Linked DNA regions of Oryctolagus cuniculus. The protein of the gene in region 1 purifies or fractionates together with the protein of each later gene. This does not show direct contact. Links are inferred from orthologs where the notes say so. Each region holds a gene or a part of one and is shown in the gene's direction. Other genes may lie near its edges.

What was found. Proteins that work in one complex are often made in the same cells at the same time.
Region 2: the proteins of ATP2A2 (region 1) and PLN purify together in Homo sapiens (affinity purification with western blotting; 4 studies listed by BioGRID). This does not show direct contact. The link is inferred for Oryctolagus cuniculus from reciprocal best matches to the Homo sapiens genes ATP2A2 and PLN.

The regions. Positions count from the first base shown.
Region 1 is NC_091452.1:8,025,056-8,029,469, forward strand, and holds part of ATP2A2 (sarcoplasmic/endoplasmic reticulum calcium ATPase 2), read left to right. Parts: intron 1-606; coding exon 607-695; intron 696-859; coding exon 860-962; intron 963-2,122; coding exon 2,123-2,254; intron 2,255-4,414.
Region 2 is NC_091436.1:51,760,640-51,765,617, reverse strand, and holds the start of PLN (cardiac phospholamban), read left to right. Parts: upstream 1-1,564; 5' UTR 1,565-1,655; intron 1,656-4,978. UniProt on the Homo sapiens protein: Reversibly inhibits the activity of ATP2A2/SERCA2 in cardiac sarcoplasmic reticulum by decreasing the apparent affinity of the ATPase for Ca(2+).

The DNA.
Region 1 (4,414 bases):
TCTCACTCTCACTGTCTATAATTCTACCTGTCAAATTAAAAAAAAAAAAATGCTATTCTGGGTCTCCTGTGTAGGTGGCAAGAACCCAAGTACTTGGACTATATTTGCTGCCTTCCCAGGTGCGTTAGCAAGAAGCTGGGTCAGAAACACAGAGAACCCAGGACCAAACCAGGTGTCCCAAGTAGCAGCTTAGCCTGTGGGCACAACACCCACCTCCTGGTTAGGAGCCTCAGTGAGTTTCTCTCAATGAGAGAGGGGCAGATGTGCAGGGGGTTAAGCTGCCACTTGGGATGCCCATATCTCATAGCCAAGTGCCTAGGGTCAAGTCCTGCCTGTGCTCTAGCTTCCTGCTAATGTAATAGCTCAGATACTTAGGTCCCTGCCACTCCCTGGGAGACCCAAGAGGAGTTTCTGGTTTCTGGTTTCAGCCTGGCCCAAATGTGGGCATTTGGTGAGTGAACCAGTGAGTGGGAGTGTGCTTGCTTTCTTGTCTTGCAAATAATAAGTAAACTTAAATTGTGTCTGAAGCTAACAAAGAATACAGTTTTTCTAAAATTATTTTTTATAGCTTTTTAATGCTGTTGTCTGCTTTTTTCTCCTGTGTAGATGTTCATCCTGGACAAGGTTGATGGTGATACTTGTTCCCTTAATGAGTTCACCATAACTGGATCAACGTACGCACCTATTGGAGAAGTGTAAGTAACTTTCTGTATCGTTTATAGAATTCAGTGTGGCACTTGAGTATTTGGAGAGATTTGTAGTATACCTGGAAAGTTCAGACAGCTTTCTAAATATGGCTGAGGTCAACACAGCTAGAAATAAGCCCAATGTGCTGTAATAATGTTTCTTCTTTTGACAGGCATAAAGATGATAAACCAGTGAAGTGTCATCAGTATGATGGTCTTGTAGAATTAGCAACAATTTGTGCTCTTTGTAATGACTCTGCTTTGGATTACAATGAGGTGAGATGCTTTGAAACTTAAACTTAGCTGTTGTTCAGATGCAGGGTGGGTGGCATGAAAACCCAGCCTGCCTTCATCCCTTTTGAAAGTGAGGGTTCCGTCTTTGAAAGGTGGAGTTAGAGAGAAGTCTTCCATCTACTGGTTTACTCTTCAAATAGCTGCAATGGCCAGAGCTGCACCGGTTCAAAGCCAGGAGCTTCTTCCAGGTCTCCCACGCAGGTGCAGGGGCCCAAGAACTTGGGCCATCTTTGCTTTCCCAGGCCATAGCAAGAGCTGGATGGAAAGTAGAGCAACCAGGACTCAAACCGGCTCCCGTATGGGGTCCCAGCACTGCAGGCAGCAGCTTTACCTGCTGTACCACAGCGCTGGCCCCAAGGGTTCCTTCTTAATGAAGAATGAGATGGGAGAGGGAATGGGAGGTGGGTGTGGGGGGAAGAAGAGCTATATTCCTAAAGCTGTAGCTATGAAATTTGATTCATAAAATAAAAGCTTTCTTAAAAAAAAATAAAGTGAGGATTCCTGATTTTTTCCCTTTCCACCCAGAGGCCTGCCTCTCTAGGGCCAGCATGGCCCAGCCAAAAAGGCCAGGAGCCTTTCATAGATCCCGTGACAGCGTTGCAGAATTGCAGTCTGCATGCCTGATAGTATGGTTACTGTGTGTAAATGAAACTCAGGATAGAAGATGTTTTTCTGAAGGTTTTGGTCTTGCTTTTTGAGATGGGATAGCATTATACCCTGGAGAACAAGCTGAGGCTAGATGGCGGTTATAAAATGATAATATAAAATATAATCAACAGGAAACCTTTTTTTCCTCTTTTTAATTAAATAGTGGAGTGAATCCTTTGGTTTCTATTGCAGAGGCTCAGAATGATAAACAGTGACATGGAATTAATTATAAGTACTATTTGAAAGCTCTTTGAATTAATAGAAACTGTGGTTAGTGGCTTCTTATATTTGTGGGAATTGAAAAAGCGAATTATTAGAATAAGATAACAAGCATGCCTGTACTTTGAGTAATCCGGTCAAGAGTGCAATAAAATTGACCCCTAGAATCTTGAAGCAATGGAGGAAAGGTGGTTCTGTGGGGGAATTGCTAAAGAGAAATTTACCTGTGTACTTCTTTTCTCCTTTTCCATTGTGTATACCTTTAACTAACACAGGCCAAAGGTGTGTATGAAAAGGTTGGAGAAGCTACAGAGACTGCCCTGACGTGCCTGGTGGAGAAGATGAACGTGTTTGACACTGAATTGAAGGGTCTCTCTAAAATAGAGCGCGCGAATGCCTGCAACTCGGTCAGTGTTTGAGCTTGATGCATGTATTGTTGTATTGCCCCGAACTCATACCATACTGCTGTATACTTAGTCTGGTCATTCCCCTCTCCTGGACATCTACTTGTACCTTATCTCCTCCAGTTTATTGCAATACCTCCTTCCCCACATTCCCTCTCTTATAGAGCAAACTTGCTATGTATTTGGCCAAGACAATAAAAGCAGTCCGTAGATACTTTGCCCAGGCCAGCACCTCTGCCCGCATGGCTGCCTCTCCCATGGTGCTCTCCTTCCCAGCGTCACCTGTGCTGCACCTTGTCAGCATGGGGAGGCACAGTGCGTGTGTGTCCTTCGGTGTTGTTTCCTTTCAGCACCCCACATTTGTAAATACTGACTTCTTGGAAGTCTCTGTGTGTGTGTGTGTTATTCTCCTTCACTCCCTGTTGTCTTGAATCTACTCCAGTCAAGTTCCTGCTTCTACTAGTCCATGAAAACCTACTGCCCGGAGTCGCTTACGGCTTTGTGCTAAATTATGATCAAATCATTTGTGTATAAGAGTGGGAAAATGGAATGAAAAATATGAGTATTTTGAGGCAAAAAAATTTGTTGTAACGTGAAAAATACATGCTATGAAAATAGTATACATGGATGTCAAACATTCATATGTAATTCCACTTTTCATGAAGTTTTTTGTAAAAAGATTTATTTATTTGAGAGGTAGAGTTAGAGAGGCAGACAACAGAGAGAAAAGCCTTCCATCCATTGATTCACTCCCCAAATGGCCACAACAGCTGGAGCTGGGCCAATCCAAAGCCAGGAGCAATTCTTCCAGGTCTCCCACACGTTTGCAGGGGCCCAAACACTTGGGCCATCTTCTACTTCTTTCCCAGACTATAGCAGAGAGCTGTATCGGAAGAGGAGCAGCTGGGATACAAACCAGTGCCTGTATGGGCTGCTGGTGCTGCAGGCAGAGGCTTAGCCCACCATGCCACAGCTCTTGCCCCTTCATGAAGTTGTTCAAGTACCTTCAAAGGAACATAATAGCACATACAAGATTTATTTACTTGAAAGATAGTAACAGAAACAGAGGGAGAGACTCTGTTCACTGGTTCGCTCTCCAAATGGCAACAAAGACTAGAGCTGGCCCAGGCCAGAGCCAGGAGCCAGGAACTTCATCTAGGTTTCCTATATGGATTGCAGGGGCCCGAGCACTTGGACTGTCTTTAGCTGCTTTCCCGGGTACATTAATAGGGCTGAGGGGCTGGCACTGTGGTGGAGTGGGTAAAGCCACCGCCTGCAGTGCTGGCATCCCACATGAGCACCATTTTAAGTCCTTACTGCTGCACTTCTGATCCACCTCCCTGCTGCTGCACCTAGGAAAGCAGCAGCAGCAGGTGACCCGAGTGCTGGGCCCCTGAACTCTCCTGGGAGACCTGGAAAGAAGCTCCTGAATGCGGACCGGCCCAGCTCCAGTCATTGTGGCCATTTGGGGAATGAACCAGTGGGTGGGAAATCTCTCTGTGTGTCTCTCTTGCTCTGTCTCTATAATTCTGCCTTTCAAATAAATAAATATTTTAAAATTAGATTAGAATAAAAGGGGGGGGCAGTTGGGGGGGCTGAATGGGCAGTGGAGCAGCCAAGACTCAAACCTGCACTGATGGGATGCTGGCGTTGCAGGTGGTGGAGTAACCCACTGCACGTCGTCAGCTGCTGCAGTTTTTTTGGCCTTGGTTTTTTACGATTCATTTATTCGAAAGGCAGATGGAGAGAGTGGGGCGGGGAAAGCTCTTCCATCCATTGGCTCTCCCTTTATTTAACCCACAACAGCCAGAGCTGGGTCAGACCAAAGCAAGGAGCAAGAAGTTCCATCTGGGGCTCTCACGTGGGTGGCAGGGACCCAGACACTTGGGCCGCCATCTGCTGCCTCACATGTTCATTACCCGGAAGCTGGGACTCAAACTAGTACTGCAGTATGAATGCAGGCAACCCACGGCACCATTACACTGACCCCAGGATTGTAAATTTTAGTGCTTAAAACAGTTTCTTAATTCTATCTGTTAACCCTAGCAAGGCTGAACTTGAGTGAAAGCAGCCTGAAACAGATGCCAGCAGACACCGGCTGTGTGGTCAGCCTACAGCACCGGATGATCTCAGCAGCATCCTGGTCACCTGCTGACCCTCTGC
Region 2 (4,978 bases), on another chromosome or scaffold:
CTGAAGAGAAGGATTTTATCTTTCTTTGGAAGAAGCCAAGATCATCTCCATTTAAGGACACACAGCAGCTGCTGCTACACATTTCGGTTACCCGTAAGAAAGTGAAGCGGGCTGAGTTCACTACACTGTAAATATTAAAAAGAAAAAAAATAAGAAAATTAAAAATAGTTCCTCTAAAAGTAAAGAAGAGCATTAAGAATCAGAATTTGCAGGTGCGCAATTTAAGGAAATCTTATATAAACAAACAAAAAAAATAGACAAACAGAGAATAGGAGAACTACAAACTCTCTTTTCAAAAGGATTCTTTTCCCAGTTTCCGGTAAGATAAACTGTTCTAAGAAGCTCAAAAATATTATTCCACTTCTAAAAATTTTATTTATGACGGTACTGCAAAAAAATTATGGAAATTGGAATTAAAGGTAGGGTTTTTTTTTTTTTTTTTGGTGCAAAAGTTCTTTTAAATCCATGCACATGAGGGAGTCTTCAAAGAGTTAATGAAAAATGCTTACTATGAAAAATTAGGCAAGGATTTCAAGGTTTGTTTTTTTTTTTTTGCACCCAAGAAAATACCTTTTAATTCAATTTTCCATGAACTTTTTGATGTACTCTCATACAGTAATTTTCAGGAAAGCAAGTGCTACATTAGATGAAGTGCATTCTTGAAGAAAAACTACACAATTTAAATTTTAACAAATGTAAATCCACCCAAATAAAGCTTCATTAACTCGGATGCAACTGATTAGGAATCTACAAATACTCCTTTTTTTGCTAGAAAATTACCTTGATACTGTGTCCGAGTATTAAACATTTAGTAAGACTTTAAGGTAATCTAATGCAGCTGTTAAATAATCTTAATTCCCTGTATTTGCAAATCGCTATTTTTCTTGGGGTGATATAGCAATTTACATGAGAATTATTATTGATAAGTACATTATTAAACCTCAAAGTGAAGAAAACACAAGTGAGTTAAACACATTTATTAGTTCCTACTTCCACTATAAGGTTGATTTTAAAAAAATATAACTAGTTATTAGAGTGGTTTTCTCAGACACTATCCCTCTCAAAAATACACAGGACTAAGAAAAAAATTAAAACAGGAAAAGTATAAAATTTAATTCCGTGAAAATGATAACCCATTGCCTTACTTGAACTTAACATTATGAAGATACGGTATTAAAGCAATAGTAGCAACAACTCAATGAAAGTTGTTGCATCTAAGCCTATGTTACTCTCATTCTATTAAAATTCCTATTACAACTATTTTCTGTCTTCAATATCATCACCATCAAAATACGATTATCTCTAAACCTGAAAGTGAATAAATCTTGAGCTTTCTACCACCCAAACTTATTTTATTTATCTGCCATATTTTTTAAATTAAAAGCAAAAATCGAAGCACAAAGTGTTAGTGACCTTTCCATACCTAAAGATAAATGAAGTTCTAAAGTTTGGCTGTGGTAAGACTATGGTTAACCAATCAGAACTTCAGAATTCCTGTGTGACATCATAAGACCTCCCTAGAATACTTTTTCTCCTCCACCTACTGCAACTATTCCCATAAACCTGGTAACAGAGTCAGAACACTTCCCAGCTACAAGCCCATTAAGACCTCACACTACTTGATATTCTGTACTGTGGTGATCACAGCAGCCAAGGTAAGAAATGGATTTCACTGGTTTTGGTCATTCATACTTTCTGAAATTCAAACTCACTGAGTTCTTAAAAAATTAATCATAGTTTTTAAATCTCAGTTCAAAGTTAGTGAAATGTTTGAAGTGGCAAAATGCTTAATATCTAAACAAATGTTTATCTATATAGTGACAGTAAAAAATAAGATTTAGTTTTAAAATTTAAAGAATCATATTCATCTTTAGCCCTGAATTGGTATTGTCGTTTAACTTTCACTTTTATTTTACTGTTCAAATTTAAATTTCTGCCAATTTAAAAATCTTACAATTGTATTATCATATTTAGTGGTGGTGATAGCATAACTTCACACAGAACAATGGCATAACTGTATTGTATCTTACTCTACTGAAATATAGTGCAGGAGTAGGCTATATATTTGCATCTGTAATAGTACGCATAGTTGTGTGACTACAACATGCACATTATCAGCAGGCTTATTCAGTATTGTCATTATGATCCCTTACTTAACTAAATAGAGTTTAATATATCATATTTAGAAATGTTCTTAAAGATTTTTCCTCTCCATAAAACTCAGTCAACTTTAATTTTAATTTTAAGGTATTTACTAATACATTAGATTCTGAGGTTCTAGCAAATACATGGATAATTACTACAGAACAATTTTCATGTTAATGTAATATTAATATAAAGAGAACAGAATCAAGAAATGGGCAAAGTCTAGGCAACTTTTAACAAACACTTCCAAAAATCCCATGTTTTTAATGAATGAAGTTTCTTTTATTAAATTCAATACAATATCATAAAGAACAAATTTGAAAATTTTAAAACATTTAACACAAAAATATAAAAGTCCTTGTAAAGGTACAGAAAGTTTCAATACTTTCAAAATAGAGATTATTTTAGCACTCACATTCTAAATATCTCACTGAAGCAAATTTGATTACATGAGTGATTATTCTGCCTACTAATGAATACACTTGTTAATTTATTGTCCTCTAGTGTTCCTTAGTTTTTTCTCTTTTGAGCTTAGCACGAAAATGACAAAAAGAAAGAAATGTCCAAGAATTGAGACAGTACAATATACTTGACTTCTGTTTGAATGCTACCATATTCTCTGTTAAAATCTCAATTTATTAGATGAAATGCTTCCTTATTCTTAAAGTTCTATCAGGGCATAAATAAGATGATATTTATTTCACTTTATTTTTGTATTATATACATTAAAAAAATTTATCTTAGAATTTTCAATTCTTGTAACAGTGTAAACTGTACTGTTTTCAGAACAAGCAGGAACGTTATAATTCCATAAGCAGTATTCCTTAAACATTTTTAATTTTGTCTACCACTAAGTAACCCTAATTTTTTTCAGTATCTTTGTATTTACAAAATGTTTTTCCTTTGTTCTTATGTAAGTCACTCTGTGAGGTGGTTTCATATACATATCTCTGCATTTTTACTCAAATATCTATCAAATTACATTCTAATACTTTAAACAGGGTATTCAAGAATTCTTCCATTGTATCCAAATTTTACTACATCACATATTATTCCAAAAACAAACACCTAGAAAGAGCAGAAATTCTATTAAGATTATCCTTAGGTAACCAGTGTGCTCAGGTTAACAGAAATTACATTGCTAAAGTGACTGCTGTTCAAATTTAAAACATAATGCCTACCAATGAGCCATATATTATGCCCCATCTAGTTCCTCTCTACTTTAAGATAATACTTTTAAGTATTGTATGTTTATAAAGACTTATGGTTTAAAACTAGTGTTACATAAGATGGAGAAATATGAAAGAAGCATAAACTACTAAAAAAAAAAAAAAAAAAAGCCCTAGGTTTCAAAAGCATGTAAAAGAACTACAGAGTACTTGCAGGAGTCACATCAATATCATTTCCTAAAACATGAAACATCAAAATTAGATTTTACGAAAATGAATCTTGATGTGAAAGGAAGGGGAGAGGGAGTGGGAGAGGGGAGGGTTGTGGGTGGGAGGGACGTTATGGGGGGGAAGCCATTGTAATCCATAAGCCGTACTTTGGAAATTTATATTCATTAAATAAAAGTTAAAAAAAATTAGATTTTAGTAGATAAAAAGAAAACCCATTTGGGATGTATATTAATTTTTTTTAATCTCACTAATTAGAGGTAGGAGAATATTTGCAAAAATAAAGTAAAAAACTTACTTTAAATGTATTATATAAAGTAATAACTACATGCAACACACTAAAAGTTTAACTGAAAACCTAAATTTATGGTGTAAATCACCTCTAAATTAGACTATATAGTTATTACCAGTCCTAGAAATGAATAGAGTCAGTTGTCTTTTTTTTTTGTTCTGAAGAGTAATTTTCTAAATGCACTAGTATACATAAATATTTCATTTGTTCCTCTGAATTCTTTGTATGTCTGATATTGTATCTCTGTTTCAGAATTTAGGCCAAAATGCAAACTGCCCAACGTCATGGAGCTAGGCAATACAGGGCCTTTGGCAGGCACTTAGCTCTATGACTCTGAACCACATGCACATCCTATACCACTGATCAACTTGGCTTAAAAATAAACAATGACATTAACAGAGCAAAATAGACTGAAAGAATTAATACTTTGCCATTCTACAAGACAAATTTAGAGAATCCAACTTCTTCTATTCATTTAAAACAATTCCATTTAATTTACAGTTAAGTTGTATACCAGGCATTATATTCCTAATAGCCTAAATGATATTCTATGGATCATTTTCAAAACCAGGGACTATAAGAAAGATATCCTTAATTATTAAGCAATATACCACAACCAGTCAAATTAAAGTTTCCTGGGCTGATCATACTGGCAAAGGAACAAATATAGAGTTTGGAAATAAAGTAAATAAAGCAATAAACTTATAAATTAAATGAGTGGTCTCTCTGAATATTTCCAGAAACAGTACATCAATGTCTTTAAACCCTGCATGTATTACAAATACAGTGCCACCCCAGTACACTTACAGTCCTCTGAGGCCCTCTAGTGTTTTCTAAAGGTACTCCGTCTTCAGGGTTTTCAAATTTAAAAAAAAAAAAAAAAGCTGATCAATTCACTCACATTAACAAGGGTGTACTTATTACGTGGCATTCATTTTTCCTTAAGACTTCCCTAACATGCCAAGATGATATTCTCTTCAAAAAATAAGTAAAAATCTGAAGTCTCAACTCCTACAAGGCTGAAAATCGCATTTTAATTGCAAATTAGTTTCTAAATCATTTTACTATTTAAAATAACAAAAGAAAAACCTACATAGAAAATATCAAAAGTAAAACGCCAACTGCAGAGAGAAAATCCCTGTGC